Linked DNA regions of Lepisosteus oculatus. The protein of the gene in region 1 purifies or fractionates together with the protein of each later gene. This does not show direct contact. Links are inferred from orthologs where the notes say so. Each region holds a gene or a part of one and is shown on either strand. Other genes may lie near its edges. The genes, in order: gna13b and arhgef1.

The links.
Region 2: the proteins of gna13b (region 1) and arhgef1 purify together in Homo sapiens (affinity purification with western blotting; 5 studies listed by BioGRID and IntAct, with this or other methods). This does not show direct contact. The link is inferred for Lepisosteus oculatus from reciprocal best matches to the Homo sapiens genes GNA13 and ARHGEF1.

What each region holds. Positions count from the first base shown.
Region 1 is NC_090704.1:39,942,027-39,945,945, reverse strand, and holds the start of gna13b (guanine nucleotide-binding protein subunit alpha-13b), read left to right. Parts: upstream 1-1,221; 5' UTR 1,222-1,332; coding exon 1,333-1,615; intron 1,616-3,919. UniProt on the Homo sapiens protein: Guanine nucleotide-binding proteins (G proteins) are involved as modulators or transducers in various transmembrane signaling systems.
Region 2 is NC_090722.1:10,274,527-10,278,445, reverse strand, and holds the start of arhgef1 (rho guanine nucleotide exchange factor 1), read left to right. Parts: upstream 1-1,613; 5' UTR 1,614-1,944; exon of another isoform or gene 1,945-2,281; intron 2,282-3,119; coding exon of another isoform or gene 3,120-3,919. Other genes in the region: uncharacterized protein DKFZp434B061-like, read right to left, coding at 3,120-3,919. UniProt on the Homo sapiens protein: Seems to play a role in the regulation of RhoA GTPase by guanine nucleotide-binding alpha-12 (GNA12) and alpha-13 (GNA13) subunits. Acts as a GTPase-activating protein (GAP) for GNA12 and GNA13, and as guanine nucleotide exchange factor (GEF) for RhoA GTPase.

The DNA.
Region 1 (3,919 bases):
TGCTCCTCTGTTGTGCAGTCAAACAACAAAGGCTGTTCCTTGTGCGCCTGTGTTTTTCTCCATCCGTGTGTGCTCCACAACGGAGATCCCCACCAACTTTCTCAGATATGAGGACACCACCCTGGGTTATGCCATCCTTGAACCCTCCTTTGGGTAAGGCTTGTACCTTGGAAATATGGGACAGGAGAAAACAGAATTGACACAGTGCACAGTAGTGCAGTGATCCGCATTGCTGCCTTCTAGTGCTGGGGCCCTGGGTACAATTCCAGCCCTACAGTGCTATCTGGGTGGAGTCTGTACGTTCTCCCCATGTTCATGTGGATTTCCTCCCGGTGCTCGGGTTTCCTCCCACAGATCGAAGATGTGCTGGCAGGCTGGCTTCTGGGAAAAGTGTCTTTGGTGTGAGTGTATGCGTGTGCTGGCCTGCGATGGGGTGGAGCCCTGTCCAGGGTGCACCTTGCCTTGCGTCCATTGCTTGCTCTGATAAGTTCCCCCGCAAGCCAGAATTGGATGAAGCAGCTAATGAATGAATGTGAGAAAACAAAACTTTACCTATTAATAATACATATATTATTATATACATCAATCTAACAAACAACAATTTCTGTTTCTGATTATTTTGCATACTATTAAGTCCGAGACTGATCTTAACTGAACTGTAGTGTTTGACTTTGAACAATTCATATTGTAGAAACAAACGCTTATTGAAACAATAAACAAAGGATTATCGTTGTCCCTGATGAAAATGGAAATGAGTAATTACGCGACTAGAATTTCGCAGGATAAACACCTACAAAAGAGCTGAGCTGTCCTTGCTTAACTGTGGGTTTAAATGCAAGTGACATTTTCTAAAACTATTAAATAATGTTTAATTTGGGACACTGAGGTTTTCGGTTTCAATCAGGGGCGGAGGATCCCGACAATTCCCAGCGGGGGTCTTCTCTTTCCTCAGGCAGGGGATCCCCAAAACAAAAGAAAGACCCTGGTGCAGCAGTAGCCCGTTAAGACCAACGCTTTATAGAAGCTCTGTCGACCTGCGCGTCTGGATGTAATAGTCTACAAGGAGTCGCATCTGCAACAGCAACGAGTTTCAATCTGATTTTATTTTTATCAAAAATGAGCCCTTAATGACGGATTTCCACATCCAACCAAGTAAAGGCCACGCTTCTACGTCTCTTTCCAAACCCCACCCCCTATTAAAACCACAGTAGAAGTTACGCCGCGCATTCGTGCGCGCCCTTACAATGCGACTGCGCCCCGCCCGCCTCGGAGCTGAGACTCTCGGGGGCGCGCCCTTTCCCTCCCTGCTGTATCGATGAAGTTGCTTCAAAGATGGCGGATTTCCTGCCGTCTCGGTCCGTTTTATCAGTTTGTTTTCCTAACTGCCTTCTTAACAGCAGCGAGGCAGAGCAGCTGAGAATTTCCAAGGAGATCGACAAATGTATTTCCCGGGATAAAACGTACGTGAAGCGGCTGGTGAAGATCCTGCTGCTCGGAGCAGGAGAGAGCGGCAAGTCCACTTTCCTCAAGCAAATGCGTATCATCCACGGCCAGGACTTCGATCAGAGGGCCAAGGAAGAGTTCCGGGCTACGATCTACAGCAATGTAATTAAAGGTAAGTTCGGAAAAGAAAGTCGTCCGGCCCGACTGGGGTTCGTTTTCGGGGTTTTCGGAGGGGGGAGGGAACGTTTCTTAAACGGCCGAGTTGCGCACTTGAGGAGCGGGTCAGAAGTAAAGTTGTGTTCTTAGGGAGACATCCCCTCGACCGTAGAGAGAAGAAACGCCCATGTTATTTGGTTGTATTAGACAAGGAAGGGGGGTTAATCGGGCGCTAATTCACGTTTTCGTCTTTCGTGTGTAATCACGCTTCTCTTTCTTTTCCCCCCTTCAAGAAATCTGGCACGAGGAGTTGTTGTTTTTTTCCCCCTTGGTGGGTACTTTTTTTGGGGAGGTTAGCCACTCAAAAGTTGCCGGAGAAGCCTGGCTATTGTAAACGGTGCACAATCAGAAAAGCTCTGCACGGTATCCACGCGTTGCAGCGAAGAAAAGCCAGATATCTGCATTTCACACCGCGATGTAACGCAATCTGGGTAGAGGTGAAACGCCCAAGTTGGGGATGACTCTTTGAAAACAGTTACTATGTTTCGTTGGCTCATTTTTTTTTTGTGAGAAGCGAGGGCACGGTTTCAGTTGTTTGCAGTGAAGCCGAGAGTCTTTTTTTTTCCCCCTGGTGAAACCTGGGCTTGGCGGTGCCGTTTTAAGTTTTCTGACGAGTGATTTGAGTGTTTTACTTGGAAAGAAAAAAAATGTCCTGCCAAGGGAAGGTTAAAAAAGCGGGTTGCCCCTTCTTTTTTTTTTTTTGTTTGTTGTAGAAGTATTTGAGACGGAATTCAGGAGTTTTCTCCTGTCGTCCGGCCCGTTCCCGGGGTTATCTCGTCTTCTCAGTTGCCTTGAATTTTTCCTTTACTGGTGTTCAAACAGGTTTTGTCTGCAGCGAACGTTAATAATTACTGGATGTGTAACTAGACGGCGGCGGGGCGATTCGCATCTACAGACTCTTCTGTTTGATTTAAGGTGATAGCTGTAGGGTGTTGTCCCGGTTTCAGAGGTCGCATGAGCAGTGTTAAAGAAATAGAAACACATTTCTGAAGGGAAGCAAGTGGCCATATCCGGTGTGGGGGGAGAAGGCCGAGGCCAGTCCAGACGCACAGATGAGTCTTTTTTCCTCAGTGACATCAAGTGAGTCGCTTGTTCCGATGTTTATAAGCAACATTTCTGTCAGGGAGAGACCTGTTTTACAGATAATGATTGTACTGTATACTTGGGGGGAAACAGTGTCGTTGTGACGGAACCAGAAACTCTTTAACGTGAATTCAAAGAGAGTTGTGCTTCAGTGAGGGTGCAGTAAAAATGAGTGGTTTAGGGGGAAATAAGAAGCAGCCGTGCATGAAGTACTGGTTTAAAAGGCTTTGTTGGGCAGTAAGAATTCTAAAGGGACTGGCTTGGCTTTGTTCAAATAGACAACCTACAGCATCCGTTCAGACCGTCTGTTTGAATGATTTTGTTTTCCCTTTACTGCTACATTTAGCGATGGGCAAGGTTTTCCAAGCTCTTCTATCTTTAGAGCTTTTGTGGTCACAAGACCGCAAAGGGAAGGTGAATATCTAGGTGTATTTTTCGTATTGGAGGTGGAGTTTTCCCTGTTAGAGCTCTGACTTTGCTAAGATCCTTCCCCCCTCTTTGTGCAGCATGCTGCATGACCTTTCCATGTGTCACACATTGCATTATTGGATAGGTCAGGCTATAGCTTTGCTGCGTGCTTCTTTTGATACTCTTTTCTTATTAATTTTGGAGCAGAGCAGAGTTTTTTTTTCCCCTAGCACAATAAATCGGCGTGTGAAAGTGTAAAGTAATTCATAGCCCTTGAATGACGAGATCATGTGTTATGACTCATGTAACTGTGTATAATTAATTTTGAATGGTACAAGCCTTGCAAAAGCAGCACAGTGGTGTTGTGCTACCTCTCGGCGCTAGAGCTCTGGGATCAGTTCCTGACCCGGGGTGTTATCTGCCTGGGGTTCGTATGTTCTTCCTGTGTTTGCGTGAGTTGCTCTCGCAGTCCAAAGACACCTTGGTAGGTTATTTGGCTTCTGGGGCACATTGGCACTGGTGTGAGTGTGTGTGGCCTGCGATGACCTGGCGTCCCATCCAGAGTGTACCCTGCCTTGAGCCCATTGCTCGCTGGGATAGGGTCTGGTTCCACTGGAACTCATTAGATGAAGTGGCTAGAAGATGGATGGAGGGATAAGTAATGCAAGATGTTGCTTTGGAATTTATCCCTACTTCTTTAAATACGGAGTATTATTGATGAGTCTTTGACCTCTCTGATAGGATCACACCCGAAGAAGGCTCGACAGCC
Region 2 (3,919 bases), on another chromosome or scaffold:
TACAGACACACTGACTGGACACTCCAGTACATTAACACTGCACTGAGAGAGAGGGGTTCATACAGACACACTGACTGGACACTCCAGTACATTAACACTGCACTGAGAGAGAGAGGGGTTAATACAGACACACTGACTGGACACTCCAGTACATTAACACTGCACTGAGAGAGAGAGAGAGGTTAATACACACACACTGACTGGACACTCCAGTACATTAACACTGCACTGAGAGAGAGAGAGGTTAATACAGACACACTGACTGGACACTCCAGTACATTAACACTGCACTGAGAGAGAGAGGGGTTAATACAGACACACTGACTGGACACTCCAGTACATTAACACTGCACTGAGAGAGAGAGGGGTTCATACAGACACACTGACTGGACACTCCAGTACATTAACACTGCACTGAGAGAGAGAGGGGTTAATACAGACACACTGACTGGACACTCCAGGACATTAACACTGCACTGAGAGAGAGAGGGGTTAATACAGACACACTGACTGGACACTCCAGTACATTAACACTGCACTGAGAGAGAGAGGGGTTAATACAGACACACTGACTGGACACTCCAGTACATTAACACTGCACTGAGAGAGAGAGGGGTTAATACAGACACACTGACTGGACACTCCAGTACATTAACACTGCACTGAGAGAGAGGGGTTAATACAGACACACTGACTGGACACTCCAGTACATCAACACTGCACTGAGAGAGAGAGGGGTTAATACAGACACACTGACTGGACACTCCAGTACATCAACACTGCACTGAGAGAGAGAGGGGTTAATACAGACACACTGACTGGACACTCCAGTACATTAACACTGCACTGAGAGAGAGGGGTTAATACAGACACACTGACTGGACACTCCAGTACATTAACACTGCACTGAGAGAGAGAGGGGTTCATACAGACACACTGACTGGACACTCCAGTACATTAACACTGCACTGAGAGAGAGAGGGGTTAATACAGACACACTGACTGGACACTCCAGTACATTAACACTGCACTGAGAGAGAGGGGTTAATACAGACACACTGACTGGACACTCCAGTACATTAACACTGCACTGAGAGAGAGAGGGGTTAATACAGACACACTGACTGGACACTCCAGTACATTAACACTGCACTGAGAGAGAGAGGGGTTAATACAGACACACTGACTGGACACTCCAGTACATTAACACTGCACTGAGAGAGAGGGGTTAATACAGACACACTGACTGGACACTCCAGTACATTAACACTGCACTGAGAGAGAGAGGGGTTAATACAGACACACTGACTGGACACTCCAGTACATTAACACTGCACTGAGAGAGAGAGGGGTTCATACAGACACACTGACTGGACACTCCAGTACATTAACACTGCACTGAGAGAGAGAGGGGTTAATACAGACACACTGACTGGACACTCCAGTACATTAACACTGCACTGAGAGAGAGAGGGGTTCATACAGACACACTGACTGGACACTCCAGTACATGAACACTGCACTGAGAGAGATTTCTAGGGGAGCGAAAATAATGTGACACATTGCGGAACTGAGTGAGCGAGAGAGGGGGGGGCATCAAGTACTTTTCGCCTGAGAGAGAGAGATTTAACCGAAGTCTAACAGGAAGAGATTGTAAGCGAGAATCCCCATCCCCCGCCCCCTCTAAAAAAACAGACCAGCGGTATTTGACATAGTTCGCGGGGCTGAGCTCGGGGGGGTTGCTGGACGTGTACTCACAGCTTTCCAGACTTTCCCCACTCGCGAAAGAAAAAACACTCGAGCGTCTGGGGCGTGAGGTTTTTGCAGTCTTGTTCTGGGCACAGTATGTGCTGCGCGGGTGACGGGTCGACGCTCGCAGACAGGAAATAATCGGCAATTTTGTTTCGTTTTACCCCCGGGCTGCAGACTCCGCCGCCGTCGAAGGTAAGACGCGCAGAAACGTCTCATTCGGACAGATCCGGCGGCGGGCTGGTCCGGGGTCGGGGGCTGGTGGGAAACTCGCCGCTGTCCTGAAGTGGGAAGTTTGTGCGGAGCCGCGCCGACACAGCCGCCGCTCTTTCCGGTTCGAATCTGTTTCGACCTCGCCTGACGGCGGCTCCGACGCGGCCGGGTGTCTTCCGCGCTGCCGCAGTGCCGAGAGGCCACCGGCAATACTAATAATACTAATCCAAATACACTATTACCGACCGAGCGCTGTACCTGACACCTCCGGACCGAGTTATACTGTCGTGTGCTGAGTAGCACTTTAACGCACTTTACTGTCCTGGACTTAATAGTACTTTAATCCACTGTACTGCAGTGCACTGAATAATAATTTAATAAAATATACTGTAGTATGCTGAAAAGTACTTTATCTCGCCCTATTTACACGTCCTGAATAATACTTTAGTATACTACACTGTGGTGTTTTGTATAGTACTTTAATGCACTGTACTGTAGTGTACTGAATAATAGTTTAATACAATATACTATAGTCCACTAAACAATACTTTAGTATACTATACTGTAGTGTGTTTAATAATACTTTCACATGTTATGCTGTAGTGTCCTGAATAGTACTTTAACATGCTCTACTGTAGTGTCCTGAATAGTACTTTAACGCACTATAGCAAACACTTAAAAGTACTTTAATACACTATACTGTAGTGCACTGTATAGTACTTTAACACACTATAGCATACAGTACTGCATAGTGTTTTGACACACCATAGCGTACTGAATAGTACATTCATACACTATGCTATACTGTGATATACTGAATAATAACTAAATACACTATACTGTAGTACTTGAGCACAGTATACTGTAGTGTGCCAAATAGTACTTTAATACACTTTAGTCTACTGAATAGTGCTGTAATACACCATAATGTAGTGAACCGAATAATACTTTAATACACAATACTATACTTTAGTGTACTGAATGGTTATTTAATACGCTGTACTGTAGTTTACTGAATAATACTTTAATACACTATAATGTACTGGTGTGTTAATTACTATCGGTGTGGCGGTCAGTGTGCTGTGTTGGTCGCTCTTGGTGTCTGACACAGACGGCGTCACCTGCACACAGCGTCACAGTGTCTGACACAGACGGCGTCACCTGGGGGGGTGTAGTGCAGGCTGTAGTCTGGGGGGGTGTAGTGCAGGCTGTAGTCTGGGGGGTGTAGTGCAGGCTGTAGTCTGGGGGGTGTAGTGCAGGCTGTAGTCTGGGGGGGTGTAGTGCAGGCTGTAGTCTGGGGGGGTGTAGTGCAGGCTGTAGTCTGGGGGGGGTGTAGTGCAGGCTGTAGTCTGGGGGGTGTAGTGCAGGCTGTAGTCTGGGGGGTGTGTAGTGCAGGCTGTAGTCTGGGGGGTGTAGTGCAGGCTGTAGTCTGGGGGGGTGTAGTGCAGGCTGTAGTCTGGGGGGGTGTAGTGCAGGCTGTAGTCTGGGGGGTGTAGTGCAGGCTGTAGTCTGGGGGGTGTAGTGCAGGCTGTAGTCTGGGGGGTGTAGTGCAGGCTGTAGTCTGGGGGGGTGTAGTGCAGGCTGTAGTCTGGGGGGTGTAGTGCAGGCTGTAGTCTGGGGGTGTAGTGCAGGCTGTAGTCTGGGGGGTGTAGTGCAGGCTGTAGTCTGGGGGTGTAGTGCAGGCTGTAGTCTGGGGGAGGTGTAGTGCAGGCTGTAGTCTGGGGGTGTAGTGCAGGCTGTAGTCTGGGGGGTGTAGTGCAGGCTGTAGTCTGGGGGTGTAGTGCAGGCTGTAGTCTGGGGGGTGTAGTGCAGGCTGTAGTCTGGGGGGTGTAGTGCAGGCTGTAGTCTGGGGGGTGTAGTGCAGGCTGTAGTCTGGGGGTGTAGTGCAGGCTGTAGTCTGGGGGGGGGTGTAGTGCAGGCTGTAGTCTGGGGGGTGTAGTGCAGGCTGTAGTCTGGG